Rattus norvegicus: one gene and its partner. The protein of the gene in region 2 binds, or shares a complex with, the protein of the main gene of each other region. Links are inferred from orthologs where the notes say so. Each region holds a gene or a part of one and is shown on either strand. Other genes may lie near its edges.

What was found. The genes of interacting proteins can lie anywhere in the genome.
Region 1: the proteins of Actr3 (region 2) and Arpc4 are in contact, whole or in part, in a cryo-EM structure (PDB 6YW6), measured with the Homo sapiens proteins. The link is inferred for Rattus norvegicus from reciprocal best matches to the Homo sapiens genes ACTR3 and ARPC4. Residues at the interface, in NP_005712.1 of Homo sapiens: Lys53, Gly54, Val55, Leu58, Glu121, Glu124, Tyr125, Glu128, Glu132, Tyr400, Glu401, Pro405, Arg409; in NP_005709.1 of Homo sapiens: Lys89, Arg92, Phe93, Met96, Arg97, Glu99, Asn100, Arg156, Ile159.

The regions. Positions count from the first base shown.
Region 1 is NC_086022.1:148,081,738-148,089,632, reverse strand, and holds the end of Arpc4 (actin-related protein 2/3 complex subunit 4), read right to left. Parts: intron 7,724-7,895; coding exon 7,612-7,723; intron 5,823-7,611; coding exon 5,727-5,822; intron 4,684-5,726; coding exon 4,513-4,683; coding exon of another isoform or gene 4,486-4,512; exon of another isoform or gene 2,098-4,485; coding exon 2,092-2,097; 3' UTR 1,206-2,091; downstream 1-1,205. UniProt on the Homo sapiens protein: Actin-binding component of the Arp2/3 complex, a multiprotein complex that mediates actin polymerization upon stimulation by nucleation-promoting factor (NPF).
Region 2 is NC_086031.1:39,374,505-39,382,399, forward strand, and holds part of Actr3 (actin-related protein 3), read right to left. Parts: intron 5,619-7,895; coding exon 5,563-5,618; intron 3,655-5,562; coding exon 3,530-3,654; intron 1-3,529. UniProt on the Homo sapiens protein: ATP-binding component of the Arp2/3 complex, a multiprotein complex that mediates actin polymerization upon stimulation by nucleation-promoting factor (NPF).

The DNA of each region.
Region 1 (7,895 bases), on a different chromosome or scaffold from region 2:
CCTTCTGATCTCCCACCTTCACGAGGAGTACCTCTAACAGTTACTACAAAGTTAGAATAAAGAAAGCCAGGTACCACAAAGGACCTAACTAATTCAATAAGGCAGGTCACAGAGGTAGTGTCATAAAGGCATGGTAACCAGTCAAGCTGTCCCCACCCCTCCTTTAACACTTGTTCTTTTCAAAAGACTCTTCTGGGGACTGGTGATATAGCCTAGTGGTAGGTTTGCACACTATGCTCAAGGCCCTGGGTTCAATCCCAACACTGGGAATTCTCCCCAAACCCCAGCAAATATTCTGTTGCCCATCCAAAAAGCTCAGCACCCTCTCTCTCACACACACACATGCCATTTGAGACTGTGCTTCCAGCATGACCTAGAACTCACAGAAGTGGTCCTGTCTCCAATTTCCAAGTGCTAGAATTACAAGTGTGAGCTACCACACTTGGCTCGAGGCCAGGTACTTTCCAGCTTTCCCTGATACCCTCTCTCCTGTAAGCATACTTATGGCCCCATCCCTCCTCCAACCAGGAACAGCACTCTCACTGCCTGTTTGCAGACAGACCTCATTTTGACTGGAACTGAGTTTTGTCAAAGTAGGACTGGATGTCAGGACTGATGGCCAGCCCACACAATTAAACAGAAGGTAGAGATCAGCTACTGTTCACCTACTAGCATCTGTGTGACAGGGATAATGCTCTATAGTTCACAAGTAGTCTCTATGTGTCAGGAAACAATGAGAAAGGACCGTTTGCCTCAGGAGTCAACATCATCTGACAGAACTCCCCGAGCACGTTCAATACTGAGTTACCACCCAACACCTGCTAAGTAACGATCAGACCAAGATTTTTAGGTAGTGTGGGGAATGATTGCTTCAGAAGAAGTCTTCCTCTTGCTCACAGAATGGGAAATTTGGAGCAAGCAATTTAGGGCTGTGGAGCCTGTTTTCTTATTCACAAGTTGGGATTGTGGTTTCTGGGTTCCCTGTCAGCCAGTATGGAAGCAGGATGTGGAGACCACTGCATCTCTGTGCAGGCAGAAACCACCTTCAGAACGGCGGTGACTGGCTGCAGTGAAGGTCGATTGGGGCCCTTGGCAGGGATCAATGACACAAATGTCTGCTGGACTGCTCCAGATCCAAGCGCCAGCCACAAGGCTCCAGGAAATAAAACACACATCCTTTCGCACATACACACAGAGCACAGACCTCATGCAGCCCCAAAGGGGCAGAAAAAGACTTTAATTAGGGCGGGGGAATTGATCAGAATCAGAGACAGCGAGCATGGGAGCAGAGGGGCCTGAGCAGGCAGGACTCACCTCTGCACCTCCAGCACAGGCACTGTACCCAGATGGGCCAACCTTGGGGCCTCTCAGCTGGAAGGGTGTTGGATGGACACCAGGCAGTCCCTGCGGCCAGAAGTTTGCCTGGCTTCTGACCCCAGCTCCTAGGCCTGCCCGGCAATCATGGAATCAGCCCTTGTTCCCAACCAGTGCAGTGGGCATCTTCAGGCAGAACTCAAGAAGCTAGCAGAGGGTCCATACCACCTCTACAAGGCCCAAGGGGGCTTGTGGGTAAGACAGCAAGAAAAAAAACTATAGTCTGAAATTTCCCTCTCTCCCCACCTGGGGTGGCTCTGGGGAAAAATAGTCGCCTTCTGGCTCCAGGCCCGCCCAGACCACAGCGACCAATAAGGTACAATCACTGGGGCCAGTCACAGCCACTGGAGGTGGAGGTTGGTTTAAAAAAAAAAAAAAAAAAAAGACAAAAAAGGTTACAGTCTTCTACAAGCACAGAGTTTAGGTTTCAAGACATTTAAAAAAAAAAGGCTGTCCCGGCCCAGGGGACTGAGCATCAGAAGCTAGCCAGACCAGACGCATGTGGCCATGGGGCAGGTCCACTGCTGCCTTTCTGCACAGCCAGCAAGCTCACCACACCCGCCTCCCGCATCCAATGCCCACCCAACCCAGCTTCCTGCTGCTGCTGCTGCTGCTGCTGCTGCACCGCTGCTCCGGGGAGTGACTCCAGGACACCTTCGCAGACGCAGAGACACAGGGGAGGCCAAGGGGGAAGGCTGCGAGATCCAGCTAGATGGTCTAAAACTGTCAGAGAGAATGACAGGCAATGAGTGGGGTTACTGTGTCCTGGGGAGCTGCTGCTGTTCAGGTCTCTGAGAGCCAGATCAGCCTTTGGCACTTCATGAACATACTCTTTCTTTGTGAACCTTCATGTGAATACTGGGAACCAAACCCAGGTTCCCCAAAAAGAGCAACATGTGCTCTTAACCACCCAATCATCTCTACAGTCCCACAAACACGCTCTTAATCTGGCCAGACATTAGCAATGATCTGAAGATACTGACACACAAATTAAACAAAGCAGAAAAAATGAGGACTTCCCTGTAGCCTGCTTAGCAACTGAAGCTGCTTTAGATACAGGCCCATGTGTGAGGGGCTGGAGGGCTCAGGGAGCCAAGGAGAGAAGGACAAGGTTTTATGTTATCCTTATGTTATCCTATGTTAAGCTTTGGGTGATTGTCAAACCAGAATAGGCCTTAGAAGAGCTGTCTGACCCCCACGGCTGCACACATTCACAATCTTAGCACTCAGGAAAGTGGAGGCACAAGTATCAGGAGGTTCAAGGCCACACTCAGCCACAGTGAATTCAGGGGCAGCAGAGGCTACCTGTTTCTCTGCCTTCCTCCCAGAAAGATCAAAAGAGAGGGAAAAATGGGGAAGGGAAGAGACAGGAAGAAAATGCTTTTTGCTTCAGGTAGCCGCAGTGTGCCAAGGACAATCCTGGGTACTATAAACCAGACCCTGCTCAATGACTGAGCACAGCCCAAGCCTGGGCCACATGATGTTCAAAGCTATGAATTGTTTATGACTTTGAAGACAACAGATGCTACTACAAATCCAAATTGGGGGTTCAGAACAATTTGTTCTGGCCTGGTTATATAAGCCTGCAATCCCAGCTACTACAGAGGTTGAGGCCGGATGAGTGCAAATTCCAAGACTCCTGGGACTACACAGTGAGATTTGAACTCAAAATATAAATAAAAAGCAAGCTGGAGACAGAGACCAGGGTTTGGGCAGAACAAGCAAAGCCCTCAGTTCCGTTCAACTCCAAGCTCCAGAAGAAGAAGCAGGACAATGGTGCAGTAGCAGGCTGCAGCTGCCTGGTGGCAACCCTTGTCAGAGGCAAGCGTTACCATGTTCCACAAAGCCCCTCAGCCACACACACTGCCTGCTGACACCGCAGCACCACCAGTCGCCCTACTGTAGATGCTTAAACCAGAAACCCCGCTTCATATTCCTCTCCTCCCAGTTACTAGGTGGACGCTGCACAGGCAGCTTCACTTCCAGAGCCTTGGACAATAAATATTAACTTCTAGGGGCTGGGAAAACAGCTTAGTGAACACAGCTCCCCCTGGAGGTCAGCGGCCAGCATGATCGCCAGTTACCTCCCATAGCTCCAGCTTCGGGAGACTGGATACTGGCCCTGTTCTGGGATCCATGGCCTGTCTGTCTCTCCTCATGCATACAAATTATAAGTGATCAAGTAATTAAGTTAAATACTAGATTGGGACAATTCCCTTTGGTCAAATGAACCTAGAGAGTCTTTATGATCTGTCCTGGAACTGTGGCGTTTGTTTCCATACCTGGAGTGTACTAAGCACTCTGTGATCTTAATGCTCAACTCCCTGAAAGGTGCATATGAACAGCACTCAGGCCACAGCTGAGGAAACCAGGCTTAGCTGAGCACTTCGTTGACATGCCTGGAGGAGGCAGAGGAGCCAGGCCCTCACTTGGTCTGATTTATGAGTATAAACAACACTGCTTTGTGTGCTGGCCACCCACAGGATAATTAAACCCCAGGGGAAGTGGGTGTCATTTCCACTTTTAGGTTTCTGAGCTCCCATGGGCTGGCTCTGTATGCACCAGTAGGGATAAACACTAACTCTACCATGGAGGGATCGGACAGCCCTGAGTGGAATGCATCAACAAACCAAACCGGAGACTGTAAGGAAGGCAGGAGTATGTGCTGAATCTCTAGACAAAACGATGCTACCAGCTCCACAGAGTAAACAATCCACCTCTTCTGAGCACTCCAGGCCTTTCAGTTAGATGGCCACAACCATGAGTAATGGGAAACATGTTGAAGAAACCATAGTAACGAGCCTGAAAACAGACACTGAAGAAAAATATTTAAGTCTGTTCGAGAAGTGGGCTGTCTTCTGGTCTCAGAAGATTCACAAAGCACTCTATCTTCCTCACTTGGGGCTTTGAACTAGGACAGGTAAAGACTGTGTAGAACTGGAATTTCCATCGGTGACTTGCCTCCCAGTCTTGGAGAAATAGAAAATGCCTTGTGGCTCTCAAGGGTGAAATCTTTGGCCTTGTGCTTCAAAGATCTTGGCTAGTCATTCTCTGGGTCTGAAGAGACTTAGGACTATCTTTCGAGTGCCATCACAAAACCCACCCCTGGCATCAAGAGGGGAGGGAGGCCCAACTCACGTTCTTGAGGAACTCCTCAGCCACGATACGAGCCCGGGCATTGACTGACAGTTTCATCTCACTGATCTCCTTGTCGATCTCCTCCATGAAGTGGATTACAAAGTCCACCAGTTTGTGTTTGTACATCTGCTCCGTATGGAAGTTGGTGATGAGAAAGCTGATGTCATAACCCTAGGGAGGGAAGCCATCGGGGAAGGAAGAGACAAGACAAAATTAGCCCCCCAGGGATGCCTAGTTGTCATATCTTTTCCCCACTCAAAAGACTTCTAACCGGCCTCCATTTTTTCCTGAGCTATATATTACCCCTCAGTCAGCAATCCAAACTTGCTTGGGTGGGTGGGGGTGGTGCTGGGGTATGGGGCGAGTGTACATTTGTGCATCTGCTGGACCCAAGCAACTGAACCCAATTCAAAATCGTGTGCCAGACCAGATGTCCTCGTGGCACAAATAGCCTTGTATTTGAAATGAGCCAAGGGAGTAAAGGAACCAGAAGTCTTATTTCAAAGACGCCAATTCAATAGTAAAAACAACAGGAAAACTGACACGGAAAAGGATGGGACTGGAGCTGTTTGCTTCAGGAGCTGTGTGAGGAAGAAGGGCTCACTCACTCTAGTGGCCCCGAGGTTCGAGTGAGGACTGGGAGCAGGGTGAAGAACACAGAGGCTGACACTCGGTGTGTTGGCTGATGGTGTCTGCCAGGTCACCAGGGAGACTTGGCAGGGAGCTGACATACCTTTCAGTACCTTAAGTACAAAGGCAGACAACAAGCAATTCACTGTTGACTGTGGCACGGAGAGGCTGGACTTCACAGTTGGTAGGAAAGTTTTTGTTTGGCTTTTGTGTTCCCCACACTACCCCATGTCAGTGTGCCTAGCCTCACTGCTAACTCACAATTCTCCCACCTTAGCCACCCCCACGCTGTACAAGCATGCACACCACCAACAGCAGGAAGGATTCTAAAATCACTGTTTTGTCTGGGACTAGGCCCGAGGTTCTGAGGAGGAGGAGGGCACTGTATGGGCTGACTCAGCCCAGGCAGTGAAACCCTAACCAGAAGCAGCAGCCCAAAGGCTGCAATCCTACAGAACCAGGGTGTAGCACAGTAACCTGTCCAGCAGTGCAAGGCCTTGGGTTCCATCCCCAAATACTACAAAAATCAAACATTGGGGCACACGCAGACAGAATCCTGGGAATTACAAATAAACAGGTCTCACCTCCACAGGTTTCCTTCGAAGGATAAAGAAGTTCTCTGCTCGCATCATCATGAAGCGCATGAATTTATGGCATAAAATCTTCTCAATCTCATCAGCCTGTCAACAGCAAAAGAGAAAGACAGTTTTTAAAGTCAACACTAATGTCCAAACTGCCCTGAGCCTGGTTTTCTGGTCCCATTGCCTCCCCAGGCTAACAGACACTGCTGAAAGGTTTGGCAGGACCAAAGATCTTTGAATTACAGCATCTGCTGATGATGAAAAGAAGTCCTCCCAGGGTCAGTCTCCCTTAACCAGTATCACTGAGTGCATCTCACACCAGACTCTCATCAGTCCCAATGGAGTCCACACCTGTATTACAAGCTTCCTGAATACCCTCAGGACACTAGTGGTTTTTCTCAGCACCAGTGACACATGGGATGTGGATATTGGAGACTTCCTCAAGAGTGTCTGCTTCAACATTACTAAAATCCAACAACCACCAAATCAGCTCTTCCAATTACACCTGCATCTGGGTAATCAGATGCCCGCTGCCGGCTGCCTGCTCCTCGTCTTTTTAACCCTGAAGCTCTCCTAGGCAAGAAGTAGCTAATCTGAATTTTGCAACATTGTTTTGTTTTGACTGCTATTTTGAGAGTTGTCTGCAGAGAAGGGGCAAATGTTATTCTTTTTCCATTTAGGATACATAGTTTCTTCCCAAAGTGGAAATAGAAATAGAGCTCAAATTTAAAACAAACTTTAAATAACCACTTGAGTTTTCTGTCAGAGACAGAAAGGCCCAGATCGATGTGGTAGGCATTTGGGAAACACTGCCTAAAGAAATATGGAGGGGTTGGGGATTTAGCTCAGTGGTAGAGCGCTTGCCTAGCAAGCGCAAGGCCCTGGGTTCAGTCCCCAGCTCCGGAAAAAAGGAAAAAGAAAAAAGAAAAAAAAAAAGAAATATGGAAAGGAATGGAAATTCTATCTTATACATATATGAGTTGGAATTGAACAGAAAGCTCAGAATGAAACTCAAATATTTATAATCCCCTGAATTCCAACAAAAGCACCAAGGTCACACAATGGTGACGATTTCTCCAACAAATTATTCTCACGACTGAACATTCTAATGTGGAAGCATGACCCTAGACACCAATCTACACCACATACAAAAACTAACTCAAGATGGATAAGCGACCTACAAGTATGTCCTCCAACTAGAAAACTACTAGAGAAAATACACAAAGAAAATAAATGACATTTGTCTGGGTGATTATTGGTAGACAGAACTTTAATTTTGACAGTTGTTGGCATTTTTCTTTCCTGACTCTGGATGTCCCATCCCACACACTGCTGGCCTACACAGCTGCTTCTGGAAGACAAGCTAGAATTGGACGGTCTGGGTGTTTTTTTTTTTTAAAGAATTCTGTATGTGCATGTGTTGTACCTTCTATTTTTAAATGAAGTGGCAGTTTCAGAAACTGACTATCAAACCAGTGCTGGAACTACTCTAAGAAGACATAGCCATCACCTGTTAGAAACCTTCTCTGCTCCAACACCTAACTGACCCCACGGCCTTGCCTGCCATATTTCCTTGTTTGGGATCCAGAGCAAGCCCTAGGATAGGGCTGCTGCTGTGGTTGTGTTCTACTGACCCACTTTCTATTTTATTTTAGATAGGACTCACCAAGTAGCCCAGGCTGTTCGTGGGCTTTCCCTCTTCAGTCTCAGCCTTCCAGATGCTAGGATTACAAATATGTGCCCCCTTACTTGGCTATACCTGTTTTCTCGGGCCAATAATCCCAAGGAAATTCATGGAAACAGGCTCTGACTCTGGCTCTCTAACCATTCCACTGGTCCTTGGTTGTAAAGAGCACTCCTAACTCTGCCTCCCTCCCTGGTAACTCACCTGTTTCACAGCAATGCTGACCCGGACAGAATTGATGGAGCCTTCAATCAGAACCTTTTCCTTCTCATTCCTGCTGATGGTAACAGGTTGCAATAGGAGTTCTTTGCTACTCCTAAAAACACAGAATCAGAGAACCAAGCTGATGCAATTGACTATGTGTTTCTAAAGGTACCTGTGCTCTATGAACTGTCACCATTTGAAAACGCCTAGTGAAAACCATGTATATCAAGTAATAACACACAGTTCATCATGTATCTCAAATAACAGTGCACCCTAATGCCATA
Region 2 (7,895 bases):
ACATGCAGTAGAAGGCATGTGTGGTGGTGTGAACAGACTTGACCTATGGGAAGTGGCACTACTGGGACATGTGGACTTTTTGGAATAGGTGTAGCCTTGTTGGATGATGTGTGTTAGATATGAGGGGCTTTGAGGGTTCCTAGTGCTCAAGCTCCACCCACTGTGAAATCCAAGCCTCCTCCTGGTTTCCTTCAGCTCAAGATATAGAACTTTCAGCTCTTCCAGCACCATGTCTGCCTGCAGGCTGCCGTGCCTTCCACCATGATGATAATGAACTGAACTTCTGAAACTGTACACCAGTTACATGTTTGTCTTTATAAGGGTTGCCTTGCTCATGGAATTTCTTCACAACAAGAGAAACCCAACCTAAGACACTTCACCTTGTCTAGGCCATCTACACTAGCCACTCTGCTCATGTGACACTCCATAGAGTTGATTCTGTCAATGTTCTAACCACACCAATCTCAGCTTTCCCTAGAAACCCTTCCCATAGGCAGCAGGTAATGCCTTGTATGTTTCACAGACAAAGAAGAATTTCAAGAGAGAAATTGAATCTACTTCACCAAATCTGTAAACTTCTACTACAATGTTAGCAATACTCCCTGTATTTCTGTATACATGGTTATTTCTCTCTGTGTTATGTACATGTGAGTGCAGGTGCCTGAGAGTTCAGAAAAAAAAAAAAGTATCTTAACCCCTGGAGCTGGAGTGCCAGGTGGTTATGAGCGGAGGGCCCTATGAAAAAACCCACCGAACCTTTTCTCTAGCTCCCACCCCATCCAATTTGTCTTCTAGAATGCACTCCTACAACTTTCTCCAAGACCATGTTATATGCCCCTTTCAGTTTTCTAAGCAATATTTAGCATTAAATGTCTCTCCCATCTTACTTCTGCATCTTACCTTTTTATCTCTCCCTCCACAAGTCATAGCCTAACCTCAAGAAATAGTATTCCATCTGCCAGTCTTTCCTGATCTACCATTCACAAAGCTACATTCATCCAGCTCCACTGTATTTCTAAAATGGTACCTCTGCAGACATCTTATTGGATAGTTCATGCTGTGTACCTCTCTGTATCTCTCCACTCAAGTCTAATTAGTACACTTCCCAGGCTTTTCTCCTGCTGTAGACTCCCCTAGGTGACATCGCTCACTGTCCAAAGTAACTGATCCCTCCCCTTCTCTCTACCTTACCCATCTTGTTTCTGAGCTCCAAAGCCTGCACATTATTTTGTCTCAAAACATGTGAGCTGCCTCACAGGTACTTCAAATACACTACATAGTCTCAAAAAATAAACTTTAAACTTTAGCATACTTCTGACTCAGACTTTTAGATTTCTGTACCAACAATAAAAAAGCAAGAAATGGTGAATCATGGCAAATGTACAATAAAAGTGCAATCAAGAGATGAGAATATAGGAAATTTAATAGACTGCTGATTTTCCTCCATAAGTAAATAACCAAGAAATAAGAATAAAATACAAACACAGAAAAAGAAGTTATAGGGCAGAAGACTCATGAGACTTAACTACTAAATCCAGGGGAAGGTCCTTATTTTAACCATGACCCAAACATTTACCAATTAGGAAACATTCAAGAGAAATGTACTAAACTCTGACTAAAACCACAAAATACTGTTAACGGGCCAAGTACTTTTAAGTGAATGACTAGAAAGTAATTAGGAATGGAATAGCAAAGTAAGGTCAGTTACAAGTTTGTTAACTGCCAAAGCTGAGTGACAGGCATGTGTGGGGTCAATTTATTTTTCCTCTAATTTTACTGATTTATTGTTGTTTTGAGACAAAGTCTCACTATGCAGCTCTGACTGGCCTGGTACTTGCTATATATACTAGGATAGCCTCAGACTCACAAAGATGATGCCTCTGCTTCTGCCTCCCAAGGGCTGGGATTAAAGGTATGCACACCACACCCAGCCCTTTACTTTTAGCTTTGAATTTTTCTATAACATTTTAATGTACACATGTGAATAAACACACACGTACCTACATGCCTTTCAACTCTCTTTATCCCTACTAGATTTACCTTAGTCCAGCAGTTAGCCTATGAATCATGAACCCTTTGGGGGTTGAGTATCAGATATCCTGCATATCAGGTCTTTATATTACAATTCATAATTGCAGCAACAAAATATATGGTTGGGGATCATCACAACATGAGGAACTATTTTAAAGGGTCTTAGCATTAAGAAGGTTGAGAACTTCTGCCTTGGCCCAAGTCACGAACATTCCTTGCCATCTATCATTGTCTTAGAAACATACATGCCTCCCTCAATTAATTTCTCTTCACGATTTGAGCACTACAACAATTTCTTTATATCTTTCCTCTAAATAAGGTCCACAATAATCATGAACTATTAATAGCTCCATTGCATAGATAAATAGACTGCTAAATCCCCAACTAGACTAACTAAAGTACAGAAAGTTAAGTCATTGAATACCATAAAGCTAGAAAGAAATACAGCCAAAATTCAAGGTCAAACAGAACGTATTAACACTGTTGATCCAGTATATCCATGGATGTTACCTGTGTGTGGACTGGCTCTCATGATGCCCCTGGACTTCAGGCATATAAGCTATGCTGCTCCCTGTCTTCCTCATAAGCCTTCTTATGACTGGTTTCTGCCTAATGACTATCTGCACATCTTACCTAACTCCAGACTCAGCTCAATAATTTATCCTTCAAGGACTGCTAAATCCCCAACTAGACGTTATAACAACTTCTGTAGCACACACCTACAACATCCTATCCTGCTTTTTTTCCCTTTTACTCACTTCATAATATATCCCTGGGAGAGAAGTTGTTTCTTACTACTTTCTTTTCAGCACAAAGCAAAACCCTAATGTTGTATTTTTACATATAGTAGGGTATAGTTATTCATTTAACATTACAAAGGAAGAAAAGCACGAAGGAGGAAATGAATGATTGGAAGTGTTTACCTCCCAAGAAGGCTAGAGTAGTTAGCTATGAACAAAGACACAGGAAGATGTGTTACAAGATTTGCTCTTACCTGGTACAATCAGCCGCATACATTCTCTAAGCTACACAATGAAGACTACTTGCTTTACTGTGTAAGTTCTATAGCAATGAAGGGATAGACAGAAGGGGAGGAAAGAGGAAGAACAATATTCCCATGTGACTTAGAAGAAATGAATATCTGATCAATGAAGAAATCTTTCTAGATGTAGCTATGTGGAGAAAGAAAACTCAATCCCTACTGAGATCCCTGAGAGGCAATGGGCATGGAAAAGTAAATCCACCCACTTCAATATGTTAAAGCTGAAAGGAAGAGGAGAGCAGAGCCAGATGGTTTTAATCCTGGCTTTAAGCTTCTTTAATCCTAGCACTCAAGAGGCAGAAGCAGGCAAATCTCTGAGTTCAAGACCAGCCTGGTCTACAGTCAGTTACAGGTGAAAATTTTAAAACAAAAAACAGAAAACTCGTCTGGAGAGAGCAACAAAGCCACAAGAGTGAGACAGGCCGGCAGCTGACTGGAACCCTCTTAGAAACATACCTTTGTTGCATATGTGGGCTTTTCTATTGCTTCATCACCAATGAAGAAGTCTAGGTCATCCACGCCTTTCATCACCCTCCTCTGGGCTTGATCACCCACTTTTGCAGACTCTTTAATGGCAATACCTTTGAAGTAAGTTAATTAGACATTTTAAATTTTCATCTCTTCAAATCAAACAACTTTTAACTTGCTTTCTTCAACTGTAAAATGTTGCTAAAAACAACAAATAAGCATGATCCAGAATACTTAAAACTGTTAACTAGGGAACAAAAGCTGTAAGAAACTGGCCTTTCGTACATCAGCACCTCAGCTTCATCTCAGAGGCAAGTCCTCAAGTATAAACCACAAAAAGGTATTACTATGGGACTGTTTCAGCTCTATTTCCAAAATCTATTAAATCCATTTTGATTCTAATTATGTGGATGTATATGTGTTACTAGGGTCTCACGTATTCAGGTATATACTTCCACCAAGCTATATACCTAGCCCTTATAGACTTTTTACTTTTGAGACACAACCTACTAAGTTATCCAGCCAGTCTTAAACTTGAAACCTGCCCCCTTCAGCTTCACAAACAATAAGAACTGCAGTCCTTTGCTACCAACCCTTCGCTTAGCTCTGAATCCTGTATGGCCAGAATGATGGCTCAGTGGGTAAAAGTACGTGTTTCAGAAATCTCATGACCTAAGGTCGACATAAGACCTGTAAGAAATGTATTCTGACCTCTACATGCATGTTATGACAACTATGCAACCATATTCAACATACAAACAATAAGCTAAAAATAGAATTCTAATCTTATAAAGTCAATATAAAACTTGGTGGACAGTCAAGAAATTAAAGATGAATAACATTAACCAATAAAAGAAGAAAACCTACAAAAAGAACTTTTAAAAACAAGCTTTCTTTGCATCTTTATTTATTTTTATCCAATGGAGATCTACTAAATTTTAATCTTAAATACGAGAAGTAATCCCTTTAAAGAATTTCAGAATTCTGTGTCATTTCCCAGAGGTAAAATCTATTATGTACTTTTCAGAACTAGAGATGACTTGGTGATTGAGAGAGCTTACAGTTCACCCAGAAAACCCACATTTAGTTCTCAGCACACTCATTAATTCACAACTGCCATAACTCCAGCTCTAGGGGACTGGATACTCTCCTGTGTCTCATACACACATATGGTGCCCGTATATACACACATGACACTCACATACACACATGAATAAAAATAAAAACATTGTTTTAAAAGAAACCCTGCCATGTAGTCTAATTAGGTTTTAATTTTGTAAGTTCAACTCTTCACTCATAATCATGCAAACAGCTTTCAGATGATGGAAATCAAAAATACAAAAATAATGCTGAGGGTACTATACATCTTTACTAATAAAAATACCTCTAACAACCTAAATCTACTAAAACTGTTACAATCAGCAGAAGGTTAACAGAAGCAGAAAAGAACAAAAGTTTCCCAAGACAATGTTACAAGCATAGTAGCTTATATCAGAGAGCAGTGAGGCTGCTGAGTTAAGGACCACTGGCTCTTCACTGTCAAATATTGGTGTCTGCACCAACTGTCTATAGGACAGGTCTTGCAAACAGTAACGGCATCCTCCCGCCAAAGGATGGTCACCTTAGCTGAATTACAGGTACTAGAGTTGTGCTACTTAATAACCAGTTACAGATACACACAGATACACAGACACACAGACACACAGACACACAGACACACACACACACACACACACACACACACACACACACACACACACAGGGGTAGCAGCAAAATCCTCAAACAGAGACTATTTAATTATCAATTCACTACTGGGTTTTGTTTTGTTTTCCTTATAGAGATACTTAGCAGATTTGGTAAAGACCTGAAATTTAAGAGTTGGAAATAAGGTTCCATTTATAGGCAATCATGTTTCTAAATGCCTGATTCTGATATAAAAGCATGCTTAATGACTTATTTCACTTTGATAATGAGGAAGACATTTAGATTAGTTCAATCACGGAGTAAAAGAAATACTTACATGATGGGATGATAAACTGTGGTTCTGTATTTCCAGCATATCCTAGTTTTGTATATCTGCAAAATAAAAATTTCATAAAATTTCACTAACCTCAATATGTATTCTGCAATTTTTGTTAAAAAGTGAGAGTTCATTGTACATACATATTCAAAAGTTTAGTTCATTCAGCATCTCTGCCTTGAAAACTATCAAAATCACTTCCTGGGCAATGGTGGTGCATACCTTTAATCCTAGCACTTGAGAGGCAGAGGCAGGCTGATCTCTTGTGAGTTTGAGGTCAACCTGACTACAAAACGAGTTGCAGGAAGGACAGGGCTCTAACACAGAGAAACTATCAAAATCAAATATGTCTGTAGTTCTGTTTCTTTCTGCTGTATTGTGGACCAAACTATGGGGTTCTGCACAAGATAGGCAAGTGCTCTATTACTAAGCTATAAACTCAAATGCCCACAGCTTTAAAAAAAAATGTACATTTTGTATGTATGAATGCATGTATGTATGCATAGGTGTTCACCATAATGCAGGTATGGAAGTCAGGGGATAACCTGGGTCTCTTTTCTACCATGTAGGTTCCAAAGACTGAACACAGATCATGATGCTTGACAGCATACTCTCCCTTTGTAAGTTTACTCATTTACTGTGTGTACACAAGCCACAGCATGTGGAGGTCAGAGAATAACCTTCAGAGATAAGCTCACTCTCTTTCACTATAGGGATTCAGAGACAGAAGTCTACAGGTAGTCAGGTTTGGCAGCAAGCACCTATACTCACTGAGCCATCCCACCCACCACTACCACTTCAATCAACTAATAATAGGGGACTATTACTGTATGTGTGAAGCAATACAGGAAAACCTTCTCTATAACCTTATTTGTAATGGCAAGAGACTGGAAATGTCCAAAGGGAAACTAGCAAAATACACTCAGTTTACACTGTGGCTATTATGCCCCTTTATGAACCGACTGGAACACTACAGATATACTGGGGTAGCTGAACAAAGCAAGGTACAGAACAATAAGCAAAGTGTGCTATATCTACATAAAAATGAAATAATTGAAAATTATGAATAAATGAAAAAAATACATTTGATAATCTAGACACAAAATATTTCTAAAATGTATGACATAAGTAATTTTTGGTTGCATCTACAGGAGGAAAACAAGTAGGATACAGAGGTGAGATGATTTTATTAAATTATATGTCATTTCATATCACTTAAGTGTTATACTATTAAAGTGATTTTTAATGTTTTGATCCGATATTCACCTATAAAAATAAAAACTATTAAAATATTAATAAAAATTATAATAATTAGAAACTGTAATGAAACTTTGACAATATGCTAAGAGCTACTTATAAAATAGATGTGCGCACTGTTAATGACAAGTAAGCATTAGAGAGCCAGTCACAACTTGTATTATTCTATATGCAAACTTACTAAATTTGCTGTGACATCACTAGACTCTGATAATATCTGCAGAAAACTTTTCAAATGTGAAAAAAAGCACTTCTTTTGGGATGGTCAGTCCCAAAACAAGGTTTTAAAAAATTGAGTATGCCAAACACATTCAACCAGTAAATATTAGGAGAAACACAGACTGTCCAAAATATGATTTTGCTCTGTCACCTAAACCTTCCAATATTTCCCACTGACTATGCCTGTTTTGTTTGAAGGAAAACTCTCAAACACGATACTGCTCCTTTAATGTGATGCCTAAGAACGCCCCCTCCCCAACCCCCAACCCCAAGCTGCTCTGATGCTGTGTTAGTCTGGAGCCATAGAACTGCTGACAGCCTCTGAAAGCTCATCTAATCTCATGCTACTAGCCTCTGTTAACCCTGCTCTGACTACATCTGATGACTGCCCTCCAGCCCAGAACAACCGCTACACCCTGTTCATCTTGCAAAATGCAGGTTGTGTACCAACTGCCTCTGGCTGAAAACTTCCACAACCTCTCCAGACAACCAACTGCCTCTATATTCTTAATTTCTGACTGTAGAAAAAGTTAACTGGGCTCTCACAAGGGTTAAACATGATAGCAGGGTAAAGTCTTTATTTACCATGGTATCTGACACAGCACACACAAGTACCCGAGCCAATTCTACTTTCCACATATTCTCTCCAACCTGTCCACTACTTAGACCATCTTAAATCACATACATAACTTTATTACAAACTTACCATTTTATAAGCCAATTGAGACTTATATTGCAGTTTATATCTGATTCCCTTTCACAACACAGTAGTATTTTATTCTTCCAATCCAAAATGTATTACTAATGTCAAATCTTTATGTGTGGGGGGAGGGAGGCAGGTGGGGAGGGGAAGAGAC